3 linked regions of the Macaca mulatta genome follow. The protein of the gene in region 2 purifies or fractionates together with the protein of the main gene of each other region. This does not show direct contact. Links are inferred from orthologs where the notes say so. Each region holds a gene or a part of one and is shown on either strand. Other genes may lie near its edges.

Evidence for each region. Proteins that work in one complex are often made in the same cells at the same time.
Region 1: the proteins of PARP1 (region 2) and H2AX purify together in Homo sapiens (affinity purification with mass spectrometry; 9 studies listed by BioGRID and IntAct, counting the BioPlex papers as one, with this or other methods). This does not show direct contact. The link is inferred for Macaca mulatta from reciprocal best matches to the Homo sapiens genes PARP1 and H2AX.
Region 3: the proteins of PARP1 (region 2) and TCF7L2 purify together in Homo sapiens (affinity purification with mass spectrometry; 3 studies listed by BioGRID and IntAct, with this or other methods). This does not show direct contact. The link is inferred for Macaca mulatta from reciprocal best matches to the Homo sapiens genes PARP1 and TCF7L2.

The regions. Positions count from the first base shown.
Region 1 is NC_133419.1:119,778,692-119,782,106, forward strand, and holds H2AX (histone H2A.x), read right to left. Parts: upstream 2,100-3,415; 5' UTR 2,025-2,099; coding exon 1,593-2,024; 3' UTR 510-1,592; downstream 1-509. UniProt on the Homo sapiens protein: Variant histone H2A which replaces conventional H2A in a subset of nucleosomes. Nucleosomes wrap and compact DNA into chromatin, limiting DNA accessibility to the cellular machineries which require DNA as a template.
Region 2 is NC_133406.1:84,141,816-84,145,328, forward strand, and holds part of PARP1 (poly [ADP-ribose] polymerase 1), read right to left. Parts: intron 2,578-3,513; coding exon 2,430-2,577; intron 610-2,429; coding exon 469-609; intron 1-468. UniProt on the Homo sapiens protein: Poly-ADP-ribosyltransferase that mediates poly-ADP-ribosylation of proteins and plays a key role in DNA repair.
Region 3 is NC_133414.1:125,090,718-125,094,663, reverse strand, and holds the start of TCF7L2 (transcription factor 7-like 2), read right to left. Parts: upstream 2,810-3,946; 5' UTR 2,298-2,809; coding exon 2,109-2,297; intron 1,850-2,108; coding exon 1,783-1,849; intron 1,574-1,782; coding exon 1,449-1,573; intron 1-1,448. UniProt on the Homo sapiens protein: Participates in the Wnt signaling pathway and modulates MYC expression by binding to its promoter in a sequence-specific manner. Acts as a repressor in the absence of CTNNB1, and as activator in its presence.

The DNA.
Region 1 (3,415 bases), on a different chromosome or scaffold from region 2:
GTGATTACCTCAGAAGACTGAACTGCAGGGTTCAAGCCTTCCGGGGATTTGCCTCAGTTTGGGGCCTTGATGACTGCCTTGCCTCCTCAGTATGTGGGGGCTTCATCTCTTTAGAGAAGTCCAAGCCACAGCCTTTGAATGTAACCAACTCTACTAATAAACCAGCTCTGAAGGTGTTTTTGTGTGTGTGTGTGGGGGGGGGTTGGCGGGAAGATATGAACAAACACAAAGCCCTTTCATCCTTACCTCGGAGGCTGGGACTTTTGCCCAAAGTTCTCCTGGTACATCCTTTCTGCTTCTGCCTCAATAGTTTTCATTTCACACAGAATAAATTGTCTCGCAGGAACACCAAGAAACAGAGCCATAATCTTAAATTCCTATGGTTTGCTCCTTCTTCGGTTAACAGTAGAGCCTATTTATATTGCATGCCCCTCCCACCCCCACTATCAGGAAAGTATAGAAAGTCACTAATCCTACAACTCTCTTGCAAAATGAAAACAAATGCTCCATTTTTAGAAAAACAATCCTTTAATAAAATTAGTTCATCTAAAACTCCCCAATGCCTAAGGTTCTAGTCTTGGAAGGGTTAGCTGCAAAATTCCAGTTCGGAAGCCAACGGAGGCTCAGTCCAGACAGGGATTAACCGACTTGTGCTGGTATCTAGGTGCTTGGATTGCCGAGTTGAGTTTGCTGGAAGGGAAATGGGGAGGCCCGACAGGCTTGGCTGCCAGTCGGCTTCCGCGAAAACGACTCTTGCTGTCCACATAGCCAGCCGTGAAGCCAAACTGCAGGCCTCTGCCCTCCCCTAAATGTCCTCGTAGGAGGCAGTCACTCGGGAGGAAGATGTGCCTGTTACCAAGTGCTTCGTCCCGGCCCCAGCGCAGACCTATGAATGAAGATGGAGGGAGATCTGATGTGAAAGGCCTGGGTCCCGGCCGCAGAGGGGGCGCCAGACCGAAACCAGCGATCGTGTCTCTCCCACCAAAGCCTCCAGGCCAGCGGCCACGTCTGAAAGTCCTGGGCTAAGCACCACGCCGGGGGAGTGCCGGACACCCTGGCTGCAGCTGCCGAGGGCCTCACTCACCTTCAGGGCCGCCGGCCTCTCGGCCTGGACTGCCCACCTCGGCCCTGCGTCAGAGCGGAAGGCCAAGTCTTCCAGAAGGTGCTGCGGCCTCCCCGCAGCCCCTCAGCGACTCAGGATGGGGCAGCTGGCTGAGTCACGAGCGCCGAGGCGAGCAGGTGCGGCGCCGCCGGCCTCCCCCCGGCAGGCTCGGGTCCTCCGCGCCACGGTGGTCCCCGAAGAGTGCCCAAGCCGCGTCCAGAGGGCCCGAGCCCTACCGGAGGGCGGCCGGCGGATGGGGCAGGGCCCGAGGCCGACGCGGCAGGCGGTGCAGGCCAGGAGGGGGGCGGGCGGGGACTCGAGGCCGGGCGGCAAAGGCGGGCGATGGGAGGGGAAAGGAGCCGGGAGCCGCGGCCCGCTTGCCCCGCAGTCTGAAGTGGCTCAGCTCTTTCCATGAGGGCGGTGGTGGCCCTTAAAAGGGCCTTTGTGGTGGCATGGGGAGGCCTGGCGGCCGGCCGCGGCGCGGGCCCTCTTAGTACTCCTGGGAGGCCTGGGTGGCCTTCTTGCCGCCCGAGGGCGCCTTCGGCCCCACGGTGGCGCTGGTCTTCTTGGGCAACAGCACGGCCTGGATGTTGGGCAGGACGCCTCCCTGGGCGATCGTCACGCCGCCCAGCAGCTTGTTGAGCTCCTCGTCGTTGCGGATGGCCAGCTGCAGGTGGCGGGGGATGATTCGCGTCTTCTTGTTGTCGCGGGCCGCATTGCCCGCCAGCTCCAGGATCTCAGCGGTGAGGTACTCCAGCACTGCCGCCAGGTACACGGGCGCGCCGGCGCCAACGCGCTCGGCGTAGTGGCCCTTCCGCAGCAGCCGGTGTACACGGCCCACTGGGAACTGGAGGCCGGCGCGCGACGAGCGCGACTTGGCCTTGGCGCGGGCCTTGCCGCCAGTCTTGCCGCGGCCCGACATGCTAGCGAGGTAGACCGGTGAAGTACAACGGTTCAGAGACACCCCAACAGAAGCCCGCCGCAGTGTAACTGCTGTCGCGCGCGCGCCGTGAGGCCGCCTTTATAAGCCCCCAGGACACACCTCTGCGCCCTCCTGATTGGCTCTTTTCTCCAATACCCGCCTCCGGTTGGTTGCGGTTAACCCTTGGGTGTCGCGCCTCGGCTGAGGGAGCGCGCGCTGATTGGTCGAATTTGAAAACCTTTTGCCCGGGGAGAAAAGGCGAGGAGGCGGGGTAGCACGCAGACGGCCAAACACCCGCTTATGTAGCCAATCCTTGTAAAGCGCGCGAGATTTAAACACTACAGTCGGAAGGCAGAACCGGAAGACAAAAGGGGTGGAGTCTGAGGCCACCTAGAGAGCGTCTGGGAAATCTGTGCTGGCGTAGGATGTTTAAAGGAAAGGGGTCAATACTATAGCTACCCTTTCCAGGTCCGGTCACTCCACACTCCCTTCTCCTACCTGACAAAGGGAGAATGGAAAAGGGAAGAAATTAGACCCCTTAAAGTTTTCTTTTTCTTTCTTTCTTTTCTTTCTTGTTTTTAATAGACCAGGTCTTGCTTGCTGTCACCCAGGCTGGAGTGCAGTGGTGTGATCTCAGCTCACTGCAAGCCTCGGACTCCTGGGCTCAAGGGATCCTTCCTGCTTAACCTCCCGAGTAGATGGTACTACAAATGCTCCACTACAGTGGGCTAATTATTTATTTTTGTAGAGACGGAGTCTCGTTTTGTTGCCCAGGCTGTCTTGAATTCCTGAGCTCAGGCAATCCTCCTGCCTCGGCCTCCTAAAGTGCTGGGATTACAGGCATGAGCCACTGTACCTGGTGTCTTTGAAAGTTTGACCCCATGCCAGGAAACAGGATAACTTCAATTTTGTGGCCCTCCATGCCACCTGAAGTATCAGGATTTAAATGTTTATTCAATATGTTCTGTTTGGTCTCAGTTCTGTTCACTTCTTGTTAGACGGGGTCTGGTGGGGCAGAGAGATAGGCATCCTGTTGGAGGAAGTACCCCCACCTACCCTCCCAATCCACCCAAAAATGCCCATATAGGAAATATACCTACAGGAACAATAAGAAATAGACAACACTTTATTGTCTCCATTGAGAGCATGTGGCCCCCTGCTTACTTCTTACTAATCAGAACACTTAATTTACAATCAAATAACAGGTCACTGTGGAGCCTGTGTCCCTAGCCCTGGCCCAAGTTCTATCCCAAAAACCAGTAGTTCCTTGAGAGTCAGGACTCTGAAATGTGACTGTGGATAACTGCAAAAAAAAAACTTCTGTATCCCACCCTGTGAGGCTGCAAAGACAGGATGGAGAGGGAGAGTAGCAAGTTGCAGAAAGTCATAAG
Region 2 (3,513 bases):
AGAGCAGTGCGAAGTGATGAGAATACAGGTTGAGCAGTTTCCCTTATCCAAGATGCTTCAGACCAGAAACTTTTCAGACCTTAAAATACTTGCTTCGTATTTACTGACTGAGCATCCCTAATCCAAAACTCTGAAATCTGAAATGCTCCAATGAGCATTTCCTTTGAGCATTACGTTGCCACTCAAAAAGTGTTGACTTTTGAGGCAATTTGTTTGGATTTCGGGACTAGGGAGACTCAACCTGTAGTAGCTTACCATCTTTAGTTGGGAACATGCAACACATGTGAATCTATAGTACAAAGCAGCGACACTGAGGGCAAATACTCGTTTCCCTTCATAAAGAACCAGAGCGATGATGATAAGATCCAGTTTTGGAGTGCTGTGATCGACTCTTCCTCACTGACTCGTCATCACAATCATAAGATACAGAAGCATTTTCCCTGTTGCACAAATTCAGATTCAACTCACTTTTGGTGCTGATGCACAGGGAAGCCTTATTGGCTGTCCCTGTCAACTTCCCCCCGAGTTTCTCAATCATAGCCTTCACTTCATCCTTGTTCCGGGAGAGCTTCCCAAGAGTCAGGATCTTCATGTTGGATAATGGCTTATCTGGGATGAAAGGAGAGAATCATTCAGCAAGGCCAACTCTGGTGCTGCTCCCCAGTAAGGGGAGGTAGAGGAGCAGGCGAGCCAAGCAGGGAGCTCCTGGGGAAAAGCCTATGAAAATACACTTGCGAGAAAACAGGACGGGACAGCAAGCTGCCACCTGAGCACCTACAGATGTTCCTCAACACAGAAAGGACTGGGCAGGAAGCAAGCCACAAAATGCCACTCCATGGCCAGGCCAGCCTTGCTGGTGTGAGCCGGGCAGCTGGGGGTTACCCCAGGTCCGCTCCATGGTCAGGCTAGGAAGGCTGCATCTGCGGATGAGGGACCAGGATGGGAAGAGGGGTAAGGTCACATGAACCCCCAATTCCTTCTGTTATTCTCCCAAACTGCAATTCTTATTAATTAACCCCATTTTAAAATGAGACATGTCCATGATAGTTCCTCAAAGGAGTGGCCAGCACAATCACACTGAGCTGAGCTAACCGATTCTAGGCGAAAAGCAGCTGCCTGGTGTGCACTGAGCCAGGCCAGAAAGGCCTGGACAGGGGTGTGCCTTCTGTTCACAGCAAACAACACAGTGCTGGCGACACGTTTCCAGAACTGGAGATGCTGCAAGGAAAAGTCCTTACTGCCTTCCCTGTGAGGGCAAACAACTAGGAAACACTGACAGTTTAAGTGAAACTGGTGAGGTCTCCAGAGAACACAATTATTGATTTATGCTGAATTGCAAGTCAGGGGAAAGCAGAGGAGGGAACCCTCCATGGAGGGGTCAGAATGCCAGCCCCCACCTGGCCCTTCATGTGGGCACCTGGACCCAGGCTGCCAGCAGCACAGTGGACTCGGGATGACCACCCACACACACTGCAGTGACCACTGGTCCCCTCTCAGGATATGAAAAGGAGGTCAATAACAGGTTTATATTCAAGGACGGAACCTTCATCCTCCACCCACCAAACTGTGACCTTTGCCATCAGACTATGCCACATGTCTCTGAGTAAATAAGCAGCGGGTCACTTCTCCTGCCAAAAAAATACATTGCTCTCACTGTCTTGGTTGGCTTGGGGCATTTCGCACTAGTGCTGATCAGTAACTCCCTCTGCATACAACAGAGACTCGAGCATCACACCAGGGTCACGATGACTGGTGGGTGCAGGGCGGCCTGGAGAGTGAGGCCTGGGATGCTGCTCTGCAGTGAGGTCAGGCAGGAGACCCTGCGTGGTACTCCAGGTAAGGCTGTCGACCTAGCCTTTCTTAGGAGCCCCTCTCCTAGCCTCCCAGAATAAGAGTCACTTGTTCTTTTACAATGTTTATTTTATTTTTAGAGAGAGGGTATCACTCTGTCGCCCAGGCTGGAGTGCAATGGTGTGATCATAGCTCAGTGCAGCCTTGACCTCCCAGGCTCAAGGGATCCTCCACCTCAGCCTCCTGAGTATCTAGGGCTAAAGGCACATGCTGCTACACCCGGATAATTTTAAACATTTTTGTAGAGATGGGGGTCTCGCCACATTGCCCAGGCTGGTCTCGAACTCCTGGCCTCAGCAATTCTTTTGCCTCAGCCTCCCAACGTGCTGGGATTACAGGTGTGAGTCACTGCTCCCAGCCGATACTATGTTCTTAATACCCTCCCACCTTGCTGTGGTTGGGGGTGTAACAAGCCAAGGGAAGAGGCCTATCCCCCGCAGGACAAGGCTTCCCCATGGTGGGGTCAGCAAAGAGAGACCCTTGATGGATACTTTCTTCACCAGCTCCACACCACCAGAAAGTAGTGGGCAAACAATTCCTGCAAAGCAATTCTAAGACTTGGGCCCTAAGAGCTGTACCTGCTGAAGCAGAGGAGTTCCCAGCAGCAGGCGCCGAGGCTGTGGAGGGTGGGGGCGTGGCCACCACTGGGGCGCTGGTTTCTGGGGGGAATATACGGTCCTGCTTTTTAACCTTCAATTTCTTGAGGTAAGAGATTTCTCGGAATTCCTAAAAAATATTAAGTTTTAGTTAAGAAGCTAGCTCTCCCTTGAAGTAACCACCTCATAGACCAAAAAGGACTTGGCTTGTCCAAATTAAAGAATCTCTTTTTTTCTTCTTATGATAAAGAGTAACAAAAAATAGAAAAATGTGAGGCTTCCAGAATGAAAGACAGTATTATTGCTGCTACAGTACTTATTTCCGGTACTTTTACATTTATGATAGGGGTGGTATTAGGGCTGCTTTAAGAGAAAAATCTTTCCCAGAAAAAACAAAAACACAAACCAGTGGCCAATTTGGTCAGGAACCACCGCTGGAACTGCTGTATGACTATAGCCTCCCTGGCCTCGTTCCTGAGTTGTTCCCTTCGAGAGTTAATAGGCCTCTGTGGGATCACACGCCTACTCCAGAACCTCAAGACCCCCAATACCATACACACTGGGAGATTATTACCCAAAAGGAAATCACAGTATTTGCTTTCCTTTTTAGAAGAAGGAAAAATGAATGCAGAGAGCCCTACGGTATTCACTATTCACTCTTCACTCTTCACAATTCACTCTTCACTCTGAGTGATTTACAAGCGGCCTTGCTCTAAATGGTCACTCAATAAGTATCAAATACATGAAGCTCAGGGAAAGAGCCTGTGCTCCCAGGTCTTCGTCCAATCAAGAAACTGCTCTTTCCATCTATGCCTGTGTTCAGGGAGTCAGCTGGATACAAGAGGTCACAGACTGCTTCCAACACACACTGACCACCTAATATGTGCTACCAACCATAGTTTGGTTAAAAACACAGTTTCTGCCCTTGAGAAAGTATCTCATTTGTGACTGAGCATCAGCTATAGGAACGTGAACTTTAACACAGGAGCTAAGCTATGCCAGAGGTGTGCTAAGGTGATGTGAGACAGGGAACGCTAGCATGCACCTGGAGGCAGTGATCTGCTAA
Region 3 (3,946 bases), on a different chromosome or scaffold from region 2:
GTGGGTGCATTATTTCAAATTGCTATCTAGAGTTACCGAAAAAGAAAAAACAAAAGTCGTGTGTGTAAATAAGGGGTAGGGGACCAAACCAGAGAAGGTGTAAAATGACAATCCCGGGAAGCCGGGAACAAATGCGTCCTGCGTCCAGAGATTCGTAATCCAGGCTTCTTAGAAGAGGGAGGGAGGGATGAGGAGGAAGGGGTTCAGGGTGAGGGCAGGGGGCAGAGGCCGGTGGGGGAGGGGATGAGCCGTCTTAACAAATGTCAGGGTTGGGCGCGGGACCGACCCTGCAGGAAGCGCCCCCCGAGCCCGGCACCCCGCGCTGGCTAGGGCCCCCAAAGTTGGGTGGCCGGCGATCGGCGGCCCACTCCATTGAAGGAGAGGCGCCCCGGCCTCCCTCGGCCCCCGCACCTCCTTGAGCCCGCACACCCTGGTCTCTGGCCCCCCCAGGGCCCACGACGGGCCTACACGGAAGCTGGCGAGCGCAGACCCCGCCATACATCCCAAGGCGCCAAAATTCCCTAGAAATACACAAGTCCGCTTAGAGGAGTCCATTCCGGCTGCACACAAATCAAGAATCCGGGCCGCAGGGGCCTCCCCGCCCCACTCAGCCCGGCTGCCCTGCGCGGCCCGGGAGAGCCCGCAGCCAGCGCGCCGGGCAGCCGAGCCCGCCACGGCGCCCAGGGCGCTCGCGGCCCTGCGGGTCGCCAAAGAAAAGGACGCCTCAGAGCCCCCAAGTTTGCGGTGGGACCAATCTGGGAAGTGTGACCTTCCAGGGGAAGGGGGAAGGAGGGCCGAGAGCCAGAGATTGCCACTAGAGAGGTAAATACATAGCCGCCCAAAAGAAAGCCAAGGAGCCTCTCCAGGGCCCCCGGCGCTGCGCGCTAGCCAGTTCTCAAGTCCAACGCCTGAAGGAAACCCACTCTCTACCCCGCGCGTCGGGCGCAGCACAGTCACTCGGGGACCGCAGCGGCAGCCAAGGGGTTAACCGGGGAAAGCCCAAGACGCCACAGAAGAGGGAAGGAAGAGAAGGAGAGAGAGGGAGAGAGAGCAAAGAAAGAGCCACACAGTCATCTTCCCAGGGTGAAGAAACAAACACCACCACCAAAGGGGGAGGGGGAACCAGAGCGCAAAAGAAAAGTTATTCGGATTTCCCACCCCCGCCCCACCAACAAAGCCCTGCTTGGACAGAGAGGTCTCCCCAACATCACGAGGCAGCAAACTGAAAGCAAGAACGTGGCGAAGTGCAAACAAATCCAGTCCACAAAAGGCAGAAAAGTTTGGAGAGTTTCGGGCCGCCTGGGCCACGAGCGGGGGAGGGGAGGGAGGGAGGGGAGGAGGCGGGGAGGGGGAGGCGGGGAGGGGGCAGGGCAGGGGCCGCATGCGGGGCCCGGCGGGCGGCGCGGGCGGGCGGGCAGCGGGCGGGGGCCGGGCGCGGAGGCACTTACGGTTCGGGCGGTGGGCGAGAGCGATCCGTTGGGGAGGTAGGGGCTCGTCAGGTCGGGGATCATGATGAAGGGGTAGCCGGGATACGGTGGCCCCTTAAAGAGCCCTCCATCTTGCCTCTTGGCCGCTAACATGGCGGGGCGGCGAGGGGACGGCGGCGGCCGCGCGGAGCGGGAGAGAGCGAGGAGAAACTTTTTAGAAAGTGCCCCGAGGGGCTGGGCGCCCCGGCCGGGCCGGCGCAGGGCCGGGCCGAGCCGGGCGCGGGGCCGGGGCGCGCGGGGCGGCCGGCCCGGGGGGCGGCTCCGGGCGGCTGCGGGGCGCGCGGGGCGTACTCACCTTCTTCCAAACTTTCCCGGGATTTATCTCGGAAACTTTCGGAGCGAGGCGGAGGCCGTCTTTCCGCCTTCCCGGAGGGGTGGAGGTGGGGAGGGCGAGGGGCAAACGCCACGCAGAAGGGGGAGAAGAGGGAGAAAAAGAATCGGCGAGGTCGGGGGGGGGTAGAAAAAACAGGGTTACAAGTTTTTGCAATGGTGGCATCGCACGCACACGCCGCCCGCCGGGCCCCGCCGCCGCCCCCAGCCCCGATTTCTCCCCTTTCAGCAACATTTGCCAAGCCCAGGAAACAGATAAAAAACCCCACCAGCCCGAGGGGCTTTTCTTACCTCGGAATCGGAGGAGCTGTTTTGATTCGTTTCTGATTCATTGACTAGAGACGATTTGACATCAGCTAAATCCCTCTCTGCCGAGGAGTTTTCGGAGCTCTTCTCCTCCTGTTCGCCCTCGTCTTTGAAGGAAATCAGTTCGTCGTTGGCGCCTAGGTCATCCCCTCCACCGCCGTTCAGCTGCGGCATTTTTTTTCACCCACCAGCAGCAATTTTGGAAGAAAAATGAAGGAGGAAGAAAAGCCAAAAAAAAAAAATCACCCCCAAAAAGTTTTGCCCCCCAAAAAAAATATTGCAAGAAAAAGACGAGTCCAAGGTGAACTTTTTTTCTGCTTGGGGGTCTTTTTCTCCTGGGGAGGGGAAAAGAGGGAGGAGGGGAGGGGAAGGGGGGGGAGATCTTCTGCACGCGTGAGTTTGGGTTTCTTTTTTCTCTCGTTCCCAAGGATCCGATCAATGTGCAAAAAATAATAAATAAAAAAGGGGGGTAAAAAAAAAAAAAAAACAACAACAACAAGAAGTCAGATATAAAGAGCAAAGGGGGGGGAAGCCGAAGATACAGGAGGTGCTCGTGCCGCTCGGATTTGAGTGAGTTGAAGTTAGACTGAGAGCTTTTCAGTTCAAAGGCGGCGCTGATTGACAGATAGAAAAAGGGGGATCGAAATCCGGAGGAACGGAGTAGTCTGGGAGCGGAGATTATTGACAGGGCGAGAGGAACACACTGCCTTAATGAGATGCCGGAGGGCGGGGCCGGCCCGGTGACGTGTGCATAAATAAACAGCCGGGGTGGGCGGGGCGGGGGCGGCTAACAATGATCCTTTCGGGCGCCGGGAGAGGGAGGAGGGAGAGGAGGAGGAGGAGAGGGGCGGGGAAGCCGGGGGGAGACGGAGGGAGGAGTGTGCAGGGGGAGCGGCCTGCGCGGAGTGTGTGCGAGCCCGGGATTCTGGGCGAGGGTGCAGGGACTCGCTCCGGGTGGGGGCGGTTTCAGAAAGACAATGCGGGGTGGGAGAGGAGGAGAAGGGGGTGGCGACCAAGTCAGGAATCCGAGCCGAGGAAGGCGGAAGGAAAGCCCACTTGGGGGGCGGGGATGGGGAGAGGCCCAAAAAAGTGCACTTTAGAAATATTAGAAATAAATCTTAAGGGAGGGGGAAAAGGAAGGGTAGTATTGTGAGAAAGTGGTGGCTGGGGGCGGGGGTGGGGGGGTGCTTGGTGGTTAATTCAGCAGTGAAATCAGCCACACTTGGGCGGGATGAACAGAAGTGGTCAAAAGGAAAGATCAACCCTCCACTTTCAGAGAGCTTGGGGAAGTGAAGGGGCTGGTCAAAGTTCCTGGTCATCTACAATGAAAGAAACTATTAACCCATGAGGCCTCCCTCCTCCCTTTTTTGTTTATTAGTAGTGGATCATTTCATGAAATGTTAAGTCCCACTAGGATGAATATGCCGAAATGACTTTTTATGCAAAAAACAAATATTAAATGTCAGAAACATTAAAAGTACCCTGAAGGAATAATATATGATTCTTTTAAATGTAGAGTGGTGTTTTGCTTTTTTTTTTTTTTTTTTTAAACTGACGTTGGAGGTAGTAGGAAATGAGCTAGAGTCAAAGTCCTTTTTGACTTCGGAGGTGAAAAGTTTGGGCGTTAACACCGTCAGGGAAAATAAAACCGAAAGTTCACCAGCCCCTGGGATCAGTTGGGCTACAGTGTTTCTCGAAGGGGGTCTGAAATGAAATCCCCGAAAGACTGACCAAAATAATCAAGATGTAGGTGGCTCTGGCAGGAAATTGCTAACCAAACCAATGCTAGAAGACCTCTGGGAGAAGATGGGAAACCTGGGGCT